Struthio camelus: one gene and its partner. The protein of the gene in region 2 purifies or fractionates together with the protein of the main gene of each other region. This does not show direct contact. Links are inferred from orthologs where the notes say so. Each region holds a gene or a part of one and is shown on either strand. Other genes may lie near its edges.

Region 1 (6,925 bases), on a different chromosome or scaffold from region 2:
TCTGTGACAAGCGATAATACCTCATGTTATGAATTTAACTGCCTCTTAAGAAATCTTTGCAACTTCCACTTTCAAGAACGTAACCATCTAATTCTAGGAAGTCAGGCACTGTTTCAAAACTGCAGAAATTTATCGCTAGCCACAAATGGGATTCTACCAGTTTTGGTCCAAACGTCTGCACTACTTATCTAAAAGAAAAAAAAACAAACTTCCACACCCAAAAGCAAAAACGTTCTCAATCTTTGCAACTAACTTGAAACGCCTTAGGTGGGGAAAAATTGATTAAGTATATAAAAGTGTTTCCAGTTGACTGAGTTCTTCCACTGCAGCTGGTAAAGCAGTCCTCATATCAAAATCATGTATTTGAGCATCTTCAGGATCGGATTACCTGATCTTTCAGACTTTGTCCAGACAAAGCCTGCAATTGCTTTAATAAACGCTAATATGGGTAAAGACTGCAAGACCTGGCTTGTCAAATCTACCATCGTACTACATTTCTTGCAAAACATGTCAGTTTACAGAAATTACTTCCTTGAAATAAGTAGGCAGGTTCTGTTTTGTTTGAAGTGTTTGTAAGCGTGAATTGCAATAAAAGCAACACCTTCAACAAATATGAATTTCTTTGAAAAAGTCAATGTAAGCATGACTCAATCTTTTATTAACAGGAAGCCTCTATTTAAATATAACCTGCGCTCAAACATCTATCCACTTTCTTACTGTATACCAGCACTTTAAGCTAAGCTTATTGTCTCATTCGGGAATCTAAAAAACATAACGTATATCCCTTTTAGAAATGCATGTGTCTTCACTAACACTGCAACAAATTGTGAGCTCCCTAAACTTCTTTTTCTTTTCCGTTAAGCATATTACTACATCACCACCTTGGTAACCAAGTCTTATTAATTCAGAAAATACAACCTGTCCGCATAGTCTTCCCTCCCATCTTTCATAATCTGCTCACTACCAGGTTGCGTAATAATTTCACACTCTACACAAGTCATAAGTAATGCCAGAATAAGCTATAGCACATATTAATGAAGTATCTTTGTGTAAGAAGTACTTGCCACACTTGTAGCATATATGAACCAGGGGAATATAAAAACCTTAATTTAAATAATTTTTACTCTTTGCTCATCAGTATAGGAGGAACACTATTACTATTGAATTTCACGAACAGCAGAAGAGAAAGCAAAGGCTGTACCAAGTCCCTTATTCTTTAAGGGCACATCAGACAAAACAGGGAGATAACTATATCTGTAGACAAGACAACTGATATCACACACCTCCTCTGTGGCCACCTTAAAGCACGCACTATAAGCTCAAGACTGAAGCCTCAGCTGTACTAAGCAGATTTAGCCCATTTTCCCTACCTGTAATTTCATATAGGCTCGTGTAATATTACCTATACATTGTAGCTTTGAAAGAAATCAAGAAGTGAAGAGCAACCGCTGGGCATCTTGCACTTCTCTCCACAGACCGGATCAAACAAGCTACCACCTAGCGAGAACCCATTCCCGGGGCTGGGCTGGCCGAGAGGTTCCTGTCCTCCCAGCATTGCATTTTGCAGAAAGAACCAGAGCAGCATTTTCACTTGCTATGTGTGAAAGGAACGAGCAAAGTTCACTTTCTGAGTGCTTTGAGAAACGCCATGAGAGGTAGCCCATGCCAGAAACAGGCTGGAGAATCTAAGGCAATTCAGAGAGGAAGCTTGAGGAAATTTTAGAGATCAGCTTTCTCCACACGAGCCTTAGTATCCTTTAACTTTTTTTTTTCTTTTTTGGAAATGCTACAGCTAGTTTCAAAGATGTCAAAAGGGAGGAAATTGCAGGAAAATAGGATATAAAAGAGCAGTAGCCCATATTGAGGCACTCGAGTGTATTATTCAAGCAGAAAAAATGGCTTTAATTTTACATGAGCAGAAAAGGATTGTTTGCCGAGATTTTTTTTCCGTAGGTACAGCACGATCAAAGGAAGGATAACCCTGGAATCTGCACACATCAGAGCCTAAACTAAATCCTGTCCAGAGGCCTGAATAAACTGCCCATTGGAGACTGCTGGCATTTCACAGATAATCCCACTTGGGCTCACTTGAAATTCTGTGGAGAATTAGTTCCAACTGACGGGCACGGAATGAAAAAGAAACCGTTTGCGCCTCGGGCAAAAAATTCTTTGTTTTTTGCAGCCCTGCATCAACTTGGGCCGTGGCGGTTTTCCCTGCAGGCGCGGCAGGCGCTGACCCCGCAGGGCAGGGCGGCCGTTGGGCGGCCGTTGGCCCCCGCCGCGCGCCCCCCGCCGCCATGATTTCACGTCGAGCACGGCCACCCTCGCGCCCCCCCCCCCGCCCGGTTTCGGGCAGAGCCCGCGGCGCGGCGATGTGTCTCGGGCAAGGTGGACGTGACTCGCGTGGCGCCAGCCCTCCCCCACGCCGCCTCCCCATCCCTCACAGCGCGGATTTCCACCCCCCGCCCCCAACCACACACACACATATACACGCCGCTGCCCTCCCGCCGGCACCGCGGATGCCCCCGGGACCCCTCACACGCTCGGTATTTTGCAAAATGGGCGGAGAAGGGGGAGGGAGAGAGGAGGGGGTTTCTGCCCGTGCCGGCGGGCAGGCGGCACAGCCCCTTCCCCCTCCGCCCTGCACGTGCCGGCAGGGGCGGGCGCCGCAGGCACCCCGCTCACCCGGAGCCGGCGGCGGTGGTGGCCTTGATGGAGCAGACGCGGAGGCGGTTGGCCGTGTCCTTCAGGGCCTGCAGCGTCTGCTGGTCGGGCTTGTGGTAGTCCTCCATGGGGCCGGAGCAGGAGCGCCGCGGCGGCAGCGGTGGTACCTCGGGCTGGGCAGGGACGGCGGCGCTCGGCGAGGGCTGGGGGCAGCGCGCCGCAGCCGGGCCGTGCGCTGGAGGCGGAGGGGAAGAGGGAGCGAGAGCGAGAGCGAGCGAGAGAGAGAAAGCACGGCCGCGCCGCCCCGCCTCCCGCCGTGGCCGGGTCGCGCACGCCGCCGCGGCCACCCGCAGCAGGGGCGGGCCCGGCCCAGCGCGGAAGGCTGGGGCGGGGGGGGAAGGGGGGAAGCGGGGCCGCCGGCTCCCCCTGGCGGCCCTGCCCGCCGCTGCCGCTTGGCCAGGCGGCAGGCGGCGCTGGGCGGGCCCCGCGCAGCCGCAGTTAGCAGCGCGGCTCCCCCGCCCCCCCGTCCCCCGGCAGGCGCCGCGGCGGGCGCGCGCCGGCAGGTAACGGCCGCCCTGAGGCGGCTCCTCGCTTCGCCGGCGGGACTGAGGGAACCGAGGCTCTGTCAGGGGCGGCGAAGGACCAGTCCCACCTGACGGGCCTCGAGTTCATGTCTTTCCGCCAAGCGTCTTAGGGGGAGTGCAGGGGGGTTGAGGAGTCTGCCTTCCCAGCTCTAGCCTCTTTCTTTTGCATAAAAGAAACGTCACTGCATCAAACCTACGCTAATTTTGTTGCCGTCTCCCCTGACGGTATAGAGGAACAAAATTAGCACGTGCAGCTTCCTTTCAAGAAATAATGCATGCTTTTATAATATACCTTTAAAAAAACCCTCTGCCTTTGAGAAATTCAGAGAAGCTTTCTTTGAAATACAAGCCCTACCAGTCATCACAAGGCACAAAATGTACTTTCTCTAGCAATTTGGAAAACTCAGACATTCAAGTCATTCCAGCTACAGACTTAACTTTTCAAGTTAAATAGCTCAATTTTATTCTAGAAAGCCCTAGCAGTACTAGATTTCAACATCTGGGAGGAAAAAGTGTTTAAACAGACAGAAAACAAACAATAAAAATCCAAATACTACCAGTTTTGCTTGTTAAGCCTGGTCCTCCTTCACAGCACTTTCCACACACTTTAGTGTCCTACCTGCAAGAAGTTTGTCCTGGATTCTGTAAGCTGTATTTTATGATTCTCTAACTACAAATACATTTCAGAATATGTTTTAAATATGAACTATTACATGTAGTGAACAAGTGCTATCGTTATCTCATTTCAGAAGATGATACTGATGTGCATTATTTACATTAAAAAAAAAAAAAAACGGGCCTTGTTCTTCAAGACTGAAGGGGTTGGGCTTCAGAAACAAAGGAAAGTGCCCTTATTTATAAAGTAGCCATGCTCCTGTGGCAAAGCGCAGCTAAAAAAGTAACAATGTGCAACTCTTAATAAGGAAAGATAAAACAAAAAACTTTCTTCCACAAAGTAACCACTCTATTGGAAGAAATAAAAGCAGACACCACCCTGCTAGCTTAACCTGTTCTTACCCTGTTCTATCAGTTGTCTTTTTCAAAATCCCTTTTTTGTTTTTGTTTTTGTTTTTTTTTTTTTTTAAAGAACCTCAAAAGAGCTGTGCTAGAAATAGGCTACATCCCAGGAAAGAGGAAAAAATTGAGCTGAACAAATGGGAGTAGCAAAGCTCAGAGTTCATTTTAGAGAGCACTACACAAAAGTTAACTGCTACAACTGCTATTTACTATGCTCTAATCTATATGTTTAAATAATTAGGCCAATTACTTTCTTTTACCGTTGTAGAACTAGTTACCCACACCTTTTAATTCTAATAATACCCCCTGAAACGATACAGGCAACGACATTGGAATGTGGGAGAGGCTGATGAGAATTACATAAACCTTGCTTTGAATTTAAGACTGATTCTTCAGAAATCCATAATGCCAACAACATGAGCAAAGTCCCATAAGAGCAGACAGCCAAGAACCGAAGTACAAGGGTTACCGTGCACGTCTGGTAGCGTCTCAAGGAACAGAAAGACACATCACTTACTCTTATAACATGCTATATCAACACAGCAACTAGTAATTACTGTTGGATAAGAGACCATAGCAAGAAGATCCTAGCTGAGGAAACAGAAAAAGAACTGCTAGACATGCTGGAGGTTTTGAATTTTTAATTGAATAGTACTTGACTTCTTTGTGGTCTAGTTCCTCCTGGAGCTATGACACCCAAGGGAATAGAGTCACAAGGGAGACTATGAAAGATCTAAGGTCTTTAGTAAGATCTACAAGAGAACTGTCGACCTCCTCCTTTTCGGATTGTGAAAACAACCTTAACTATTGCAGGAATAGCCGTAAATTCCAGCTTTAGGTTCCCAGTATCCTGTAGGGCTCCATTAAAGATTCTCAACTGAATGTTGTGCTTGCTATATACCTGCAAATATCTTCCTAGTGATCTGGCTGTGTCATCATCTCAAATAAGCCTAAAAACAGTTCAACATTACTGTAGAGTGAGGGTTACACAGCTTTCCTGCCTCTCCTCTGTGCTTCCTTGCATCCTTACCACTATCTTTTAGCTTCACTGTAGTTATCACCACAGTTGACTATACTCTGGCTGCACAGTCAGAGGATAAGTCTAAATTAGCTTGTGCCAGGAGTACACTTCTGAAGCAAATCTCATCATCCTTGCTCACTGTGCTTTGGTTTGCACTGCAGAAAAGTCTCAGAGCTGAAACTAGATTCATTTCAAATGTAGAGAGAACTGAAAATTCACTCTTTGAGAAAGCAGCTAATATATCCCAGCCATTAATGGCTATTCAGGCCAACAGAACAGATTGGAATTCTACTCCAGACTAGCCCAAAAACACATATAGGGCTGATATTGGGTCCTCAGCCCCATCTTGCACGCTCTGCAGATCTGCTTTGCTGGGATCTCCTACTTGCTGATGTAGAAAAAGACACAAAACTAAGTTACTAGCACAATAGTGTTAGCTTGAGGTCTGCTCTATGCTTACTGATTGAGTTGTTAGAAAATGGCTGTCCTGGGGAAGTGATTTTTTTGTTTGTTTGTTTGTTTTAAATATACTGTTTAAATACTATTCTTCAGACAGATCTTGATTCCTGGCTCAATCATTATGTCATGGACCTGTATTATTAACTTCATATCACTTGGGCAAGGTTGGGTAGGATAGACTGGTCTACCTGAAACTATGGTTTAGAGGGAGTCAGATCCTCAAACGGGGCCAAGCAAGATCAGCTACCTTAAGAAGGAAAGAAACAATAGAGAGAGAGAGAGAGAGGGAGAGGGAGAGAGAGAGGAAGGCACAAATGAAATAATGGCTATGATACAAACCTTCACAGTACCAAGTGTTAACTGAAGACACATTATGAGAAGTTGGCTGTCCAACCTTCCAGTTTCAGCTGCAGACATTAAGTTTCCCAGAATGACATTTGCATCAGGAAATAAAAAGCTTATCCGGAGATCCAGGTACCTTGTTCCTCTAGCTAGCTAGTAGTATCTATAAACACAGTAAAAAAATATTATAACGAAAATGGGTATCATGTGAATAATCAAACAAACAATTTCTACTTTTTTTTTTTTTCCTTCTTCTAGTAGATTTACTCCATGTTTTATGTAAACAGGGTTCAGTCACTCCCTGCTTCATAGTCAACACCCTTTGTTTTTCCTCTCAGCTCTTACATATGCATTTGACTAGACCACAGCTGCAAATTTGGCTGTATCAGCCCAGGCTGTTTTCACCCTTTGCCTGCAGAGTAAGGCCTGTGATCAAGTTTATGGTTACTGTGAATATATGCTCCCTAAGAAAGTGGCTTCTAAGCGTACTGCAGCAATCTACCTTGTCAGGCTGGACATATGGTGCTTTCTTTTTTTCCTCCTGTAAGAAAATAAGGGGGATGATCTGGATAAGACCAGTATTACTAAGGCTCACAGCTTACTGTTTTCTCCATTGTTATCTGGATGGTACAAAGGCTTTCTTTAAGATAGACTTAACTCAGATAATGTCATAGGGAGATTACTGCCCACAACTCACCCTCCTTCCCTGAATCCTCCTCTGCTGCATCATTGAGTGCTTATTCATGGTTGTGCTGTTAAAACAGCAGCTCAAGCATGCACAGGATGAAATTCCACCTTGTGTTAGTTCTTCCACTTTGATCTACTGAAGTGGCATGTT
Region 2 (7,925 bases):
GAGCACGTAGGTTATGCTAGGAGAAGAGTTTGACTAAGCAGAACTGGCAGAAGCCATGATGTGCATGCAGTTTTGGCCTTTAGCACAGGAGCATTTGACTGCCTGGGAAGCCCACAAGCAAGCCACTTCATACTGCCATCATCCAGACAGGTGACTAGCAGCCACAGCTTGGTTTGGCAAGCAGTTGAACATTGTGCTATTCATTTATCAGTCACAGAAGTTGCGACTATGGACTTTAGGTGAGCATTTAAATCATATCACACTGCCAAGTCTACACCTATCTGTAGAAGACGGGCTGGTCTTGTACACTTGCTGCCACATTGGCCTTCAGTTCTTGCACAGCCCCTTTCCAGTGAGTATACTATTTGAGCCTGAGCAAGTGGTTTAAATAGTATGGGTATCAGACATGCAAAGGCCCCTTCAAGGAACTGGACTATGAAACTGCTCCCATGAAAAAAACTAGGCCTCAGCTCCATGTCTCAACTGCCACTGAGGCTCAGTAGTGTTCAGAACAAACAGACCCCATACTTGCACTCAGCACAGATCCCCTAAAAGAGAATGTCCTGTAAGCAGTACAGTGCCTGAGCTGACAGGTTAAGCACAGCCCAGGCTGAAAAGTTGAGCACAGCCTAGTACTCAAACCACCACCATGCCAGGCACACTCAGCTTCCTATTCATTTTAGAGTCCCCCTGCAGCTCCAATCCCTTCCCCAGATAATCCCGATTTTGCCACATAACAGGCCTGCATACAGGTCAATAGGTCCTTGACAGATGAAGGCCCATTGTGAAAGGCTATTTGCTGAGCAGGGCCCTGACACAGAAGCAAGTCACCACTGACCAAGTGGAACATTAACACATGAATCCCCTTCACCCACATCCTGAAATACCCTCACTCAGTAAAAAATAAATCTCTCTCCAAGCTGTGATTAAGCCAAGAACACATCTCAAAGACTACATCCTATCCATACTCTTGGAGCAAAGATAGCCAAGATACCATTCCAGTTAGCAGGACTTGTATTAACTGACCCTAGAAGACTTGCTGGAATTGCCAGTTTTCTCCCTAGCTTTGTCCTAGCATGATCCAGGAAGTGGTCTCCCAGGCAGAAAGGGGTCTCACTTAAAGAGCTGCTGGCTTAAAGTTGAACAGCTACCCAATAAAGGATCAGGCACATTAAACTCACCTTTCTGCATCAGTTGGTCCACCATGCTGCTTGCCTTCAGGATTGAAGTGGGCACCTGCACTGGTACACCCTGAAACAGATCAGACATCAGAAGTGTAGGTTTTCACCACAGCCAATATAAACCTGTCTACACAATACAACAAGGTAGTCCTCTCACAGAGAGAGGAAGCAAACTCTCTAATGATAAAATAGCTGTTCTCATGCCAGATATTATCCTGATCCATTGGAGGCAAGTAACCTATGACAGACTTGCAAGCCTTACTGAGTCCAATAAAATATAACGTTCTGGAATACAGAACATTTTCAGATGTTCTTGGTTTAGCTGAAAGTAGCATTCTCAGTTCTTAACACCAGGTCATCGTAGTATTTTAGTGCTTGATATATCAGGTTCTGAAGACTAGTTTAAACATGTTTAGAGTATTAACTGGGAAATAATTTGTTAGAGAATGTCATCCTTTCATAAAACAGTCTTGCAGTCACCAGACTACCAAGTACATTTCATACTAGTCAGCACTGTAACACTAGAAGAAGCTCTTTACAGCTGAACAGTCAGGATACAGCTCTAACTGGAAAGCCTAGATACAGATCTTACCATTTGTGTTGTCCCCAAACTCATGGACATGGAAGCCATGATCTCCATCATCCAAGCATTCGATTTTTCCAGTAATTTTTACTGGTCCATCACCCTTCAGTAGAAAGAGAGTTTGTTAGCACCTAAATGACTACAGTATTAAGTGGGCTAATAGCAGCACATGAAGCTTTCTGGTCAACAGAAAGCACTGGAGACTCCACTGCAAGTTCAGCAACCAACATGAATGGTTACCCTCCTGCATGAATTGATTCCATCTGCCAAGACAGCATTTCACAGAAAACTTGCATTTGTTTAACCACCTAGAAAGCATTCCTCCGATTAATCTGTCAAACAAGAGGGATGCCTTCTTTAAGATTACCTGCTTTTAGTAACCACGTGCTTCAGCATGCAAGCACAAGCAACCCCAAACATCGGTGCTCCTTCGCAGGCACAGCATTACCTCAGTACAGTCCCAGCTATGGGGAACAGCCAACTCGGGAAGCGTGGAAAAGGGCTCAGACCACGCAGCAGACTGACCCACGTAAAGTCCCACCCTGGCAGCGACAAACAGGCTTCCCAGAAGGGCTGCGGCGGGCTCCAGTAACGAGCCTTGCCAGGGGGCCCCCAGGGGCGCAACAACCGCAGGCCTAACCCTCCCCCGTCCCCCCGTGACGGGGCCGAGCCGCGGCCGAGCCCGCGCGGCCCGGGGCAGCCGCCCCCGCGCAGCGGGCAATGACTCAGCACCTGGCGAGCCCCCAAGGCCGGGGCGGGGCTGAGCGGAGCGGGCCGCCCCACCGGTCCCTCACCCGCCGGCCCTTGCCTGCTGCTCAAAGTGGATGAGGCCATGCACGGAGCTGTCCCCCTTCATCACGCACACGGCCTTCAACGTCGCCATCTTCCCGCGGCGGCCGGACGAGCGGCGCAACAGCAACAACCAACGCAGCGAGCGCCCCAGCACTGCAGAGCCGCCCCCTCCGCCCGGCGGCTCTTATATAGCGCGTTCCTCCCCCCCCAACGCCGCAGCCAATCACAGCGCGCCTTTTTAGCTTCCTCGATCAATTACTTCGCGGGTTGCGGCCAATAAAGGGGGAGGGAGCGCCGCGGCGCCCGCTGCTGAGCCAATGGGCAGGTGAGGCGCCTCCCCCGGCCGCGGGGAGCGGGGGAGGGGCGGAGGGGGGGGCGCGCCGCCTTGTGTAACGGAGGCGCTGCGGGATTGACGGCGGCGATAAACAACGGCGCGAGGGCCGCCCCGCCTCCCCCCCCCCCCCCCGGCGCCTCGCGCCGCGACCGTTGGGGCGGTTGGCCGCCGCCCCGCGGGGGGTTGGCTGCGGGAGTGGCTGGCCCAGGTAGCTCGCGTTGGTTGCTGAACGGTCGCAGGGGGTTTGTCTCTTGTGTTTGCCGGCGCCGCGACGCTCGGGCGTTCGGGAAGCGGGGTGTTTCTTAAGCAGGCTCACTTTAAACCCTTCCCCTCCCCTCCCCCGCGAAAAGGATGAGCTTTCGGTTTTTAGGTCTCACCGCGTTAGGGTTTCATACTGACGTGAAAAACACGTTTTGTGACAGGCATGCACTGAGGCAGTAAGATTAAGAATCATCCGCAGCATTTTTTTGTCATTTTCTGCAACTTTTTTTTCCCTTCTGTGTATTGTTGTACTTTTTTTGTTTGTTTGTTTCCCTACTGAGAATTCCAGTTGAAAAGCTGAGCGCGCTTACAAAGCTGCCTCAGCCTAGCTTTGCGCTTCAAAGAAGTGGCCCTGTCCAGAAGGTGTTTTGTTCCCCGTGCAAAAGCCACGGGGGTTTCCGTCTGGAGTTGGTGGTGCTGCTGCTCAGCTGCTGACTGTCAGGTTACGGTGGGCTTCTCGGAGCCCCCTTTGCCCATCGGCTGCCCGCAATCACAGGCTGGGTATCTAGTACACAGCTCAGGCAGACTTGTGCTTAACGTGGAAAGTCTCTTGGTGTAGCCGCTGATGAGGACTACTTGTCTGAGGGGTGTGTAGGGAAGAGGTGACAAATTCTCTCCGTGCTGACAAACCTTAGGCTCCGAGGGAAAATTAACATCGGACTCAGGGAGGATATATCTGTGCACTTTTGTATGAAGAGCTGCAACCTCCAAGAGTTTTAAGAATAAAATGATCGCATTTAATAAACGCCTTTTTGGTAAAGCCATGTTCCTTGTTTTCCTGCTGCATTACTGATGAGCAAGTTGAATCAGAAGTCCAAAACGATCGTATAATAGCTGTACCTTGAGGCAGTCTGCGTGTATGACTGAGGGCCCTGGTGATCTTAAGACACCTGGCAGAGAATGCCCTATGGTTAAGGAAGGGAGCACAAGGCCTGTTTCACACGTTAGGCTCAGTTTTGAATCCCAGGAATTTTATGGGGGCCTGACGTTAATTGTGAGGAACAGAGATTCGTTTGGTTGAATGGCATATTTCTCTGAGAAAGAAGCAGCAGGAAGGAAAATGCCAAATACACAGGGAGCATTAGTCTGACAGATAGATAAAATGTTTGTAGTTTGATCCTGAAAAGATGCTGAGAGAGAAAGAGAGCTGGGCTGCATCCCAAATAGGAGGCGTCTCGGCACTGAGAGTTCATGATCTTCCTGGAGTTTAATTCCTGCTGTGCATGGAGAGAAAAGACTGTAAATTGCTCATGAACAAAGAAGTCTGTGGTAATGGCACAACCTCCATCATCCTGAATGTTGGCTGGATCAAAAGGAAATATTTCAGTGCCCTCAAGGCAAATGTTGTTTGATTTAAAAAATGGCTTGTAAACGTGGAAGGATAGTAGTGACTCATTATGCTATCTACCATCTTTGGCTTCCGATGTCCTTTTTTTTTTTTTTTGTCAGTGTCTTTTCATAAGGAGAAACATCTTGAGTGCTTTGCTATGGTGCTTCTTCTTATTCTTAGGCCTGTCTCCAGATCTGCCTTGGTTTTTATCAGACAGATTTATTCTTTCTTTCCTGGAGATAAGTTCTCAAGATCCACCCTTCTTCATGCCTCTACATGAATGTACGACAAGCAGATGGATAAGCAGCTCTACCAAAGAGAAGAGCCAGATGTGCCAAGCCTCCTCATACGTAAAGTGAAGTAATAATTTCAGAAGTTTGTCGCATTAGGTGTGACCAACAGGTTACAGAGTTCTATGAAAAAAGCCTGAACTCTGAGATGCCTGATCTCTCAGATAGAGTGCAGCTGACAAAGATGACATGTTAAGAGACAGCGTAGAGGTCAGCGGTAGAAGGCTAAAGGAAAGATATGATTTTGAAGGACTAACATACAAGAGTTTGTATGGTATGTGCAGATCAGTAATCACGTACAGGCTGTGGCCTCACCCTTTAGAGTGTTTTCTATTCCTACATGCGGTACAATAGTAATACAAAAATATTGGTTTACATGAATACTCTTTCACAGGAGTCTTGCGTAAGAAGCTAGAGATTTTTTTTCCCCACATACTTCCTTTTCACTCATTTCACTCATTTCACTTTTTACTTTCTTAAATCTTGCTAGCAGGGAACATTTTTTGTGAAAATCCACCACAAAGAAGTTGAACAAAGTGTCTGGTGGCAGTAACACATTGGTTTTTTTATTCAGAATATCAGAGTCAAACCAGAGAGGAAAGAACAAACTGCCAGGTGGGATTACTAACTTTGATAGCATGAACTACAGTCAGACAGGCGATTTGTCAGACATAAGAAAGGAAGTGTGGTCTCTTGCAACTTTGGCAGTTACTGTTTGACACCAAAGCCCCACTCTTTTTTGACCTATACTCTTGTTCTGCCATCTTACCTTGGAAAAAGTCTAAACTCGGGCCTGTTCGCACCTTCATAGCTGCAGTGATAACAAAGAGGACTGAACTGGAGCCCAGAGGGTTGAAGCAAGTATGGGAGTGACAGGCTTAGGGCTAGGTGGACACATGATTTTGAATATTTTCTCCATTCTGCAATTGGCTACATAGTGTATCCATTTTAGCAGGGGAATGAAGCCGTTCTTAGTGTTGGTCAAAAGGGCTGCTCACATCGCATAGAGAGACTCGCAGGTAAATCTCTGAAGAACTAGGATTCATGTTAGCCCTGATTGTTTCCTAATTTGCCAACTTAAAGCGCTAACGGCAACAAATGAAGTAGTGTGTCATGTGGGTTAACAGATGTCTAATCTACATAGACTCATCAACTAATCAACTTCTAAGCAAAACGTGCAAAAATAACAAAAAATCCCAAACTTTCTGTACTGTAAAAATATGGCATCCATCAAGCATTAAGCCTCTGCAGCACATTAACTCGCATTCTGATTCAGATTTTATATTGATTAAAAAATTAGAAGTTCAGGAGTTATGGTTCCCATGACAACCATACCTCTGAAGCCTTGTGCAAATGTATAGTATTTCTACTTCTGATGACTCTTCTGGAAAGATATGAGGTGAAACTAAGATTGCCATGGGAAGCATCATTCCAGGTCTCTTGAGCTTCTGTGCATAGGTGCTCACCCATCAAGATTAGATACGTTATTAATCTACGTTAATGTCATTTTTATGTTTATTCTTTCACAGTAACAAAGGTGAACTGAAACAACATGAATAATAATTCTTTCTGTAGGACCATTAATTCCTTGAATGTGCATCTCTGAAGGGGAGGCTGCTGGCAAGATTAAGTGCAGGTGAGCTTATTCTAGCATGCCAGGAAAGGAAACAACCATTACTTCTCTGCAGCCTCACGTTCCAGCAACTGAGGATCCTAGCAGGGCTGGATCAGAGCAGTCCTTCCTCCTGCTCTGGGAGCAGATTTATGGCTATTCTGAACCCATTTTTGCATCTCAGTGGGTGAGTGCGTTCTGTTTAGCTTAAAGGCCTGATTACACAAAGACAGTGAGCAGTGGCTTCCCGCTGCAGTAAATGCGTTGCTTGCCTGGTCTTCTTATCTAAAGCTTCCCTTCAGAAATGTGGAAGCTAAATTCCCAATGTTGGTATCAACTTGTGCTGTGGAATCATAGAAGACTTGTAGCATTTGGGAATCACTTAATACATAGAGAACACAAGATGTGCATGTCTGTTCAGGCGTACCCAGTAAGGAGAGTGCTGTACTGCATGTAGATAATTCTGTATTATGAATGGTCTAGAAGACGCTTGTGTGTGTGTGTATGGCGGGGGGGAGGTGGGGGGGAGGTCCTTCAGAGTCCCACAGTCTAGATCCTAAATGCTAAAATCTGCAAAAATCTAATGCTTGCCCTGTCCTTGGACTCAGCTGTCTACACATAGGTGTCTAGCCCCATCTGTGATACCTCCAGGTATCTCCTCTGGCCTCTAGCTGCTGCTGCAGGAGGGGTCCTTGAGCTCCTGTTGCCTACCTGCCAGCCCCTGTGCCCCCCTTCAGGCTCTCTGTTGCATTCCAGAGAGCCCCAAACACCTATCCTGAAGAACCCAATCCAACCCTGAGCCTTTGCGTTGTCCTGGAAAATGCATCGTGTGCCATTAAAGTCTTCCCATTTGATTACATGTGGGTAATGACACTTCCCTACCTCTGAGGGATTCTGGGAGAGGTAATTAACTCAGTTAATGTTTGTATAGCATTTTGAAGATGAAAAGCACTGTGGAAATCAGGAGTTATTACATTAGAAACTTTGTGACAGACTCCCTAGTGCAAAGCATGTAATTCCAATTAAGAGTTAGTAGAGCTGATAACCAAAGTATTCATATAATTAAAACAGTGCCAGCCTAGAAAGGCTTTGAATGGAACATAAAAGATTAAACATAACATTCACTTTTGACATCTTGTTGTCCTTTTAGTAGCTAAATTGAGGTATTAAGTCCCTAATTCTGCGTTGCTGTACAAGCTGAGTACACTTGAAATATGATCCTCAGAGGACAAGTTTGTGTAAATATTGGTGAAGACCTTTGTACCCAGCACCAGCACTTGAGGCCACAAGTTACGACAACCCTTCTCAGGCACTGGTGCTATTCACGATCTGTCCGCTGAATTTTTTTGCTGGTTAACATTCAAAGAGCTGGATTTTAAATACTTCAGACAGGGCCAAAGCCTGCTCGTGTTACTCCAGTGTGTATTTCTGGTGAATCCAATGGATTATGCGGTTCCCCTGCTGAACCACCACAGGACTGGCCGTTTCCACTCTCCCTCTGGGGAGTTTGGGGGCCCTGCTGTGCAGAGAGCTGGTGATCTA

Evidence for each region.
Region 1: the proteins of SOD1 (region 2) and TKT purify together in Homo sapiens (affinity purification with mass spectrometry; 3 studies listed by BioGRID, with this or other methods). This does not show direct contact. The link is inferred for Struthio camelus from reciprocal best matches to the Homo sapiens genes SOD1 and TKT.

Annotation. Positions count from the first base shown.
Region 1 is NC_090955.1:17,493,442-17,500,366, reverse strand, and holds the start of TKT (transketolase), read right to left. Parts: upstream 3,020-6,925; 5' UTR 2,793-3,019; coding exon 2,686-2,792; intron 1-2,685. UniProt on the Homo sapiens protein: Catalyzes the transfer of a two-carbon ketol group from a ketose donor to an aldose acceptor, via a covalent intermediate with the cofactor thiamine pyrophosphate.
Region 2 is NC_090942.1:119,551,611-119,559,535, reverse strand, and holds the start of SOD1 (superoxide dismutase [Cu-Zn]), read right to left. Parts: upstream 3,021-7,925; 5' UTR 2,648-3,020; coding exon 2,573-2,647; intron 1,868-2,572; coding exon 1,774-1,867; intron 1,252-1,773; coding exon 1,182-1,251; intron 1-1,181. UniProt on the Homo sapiens protein: Destroys radicals which are normally produced within the cells and which are toxic to biological systems.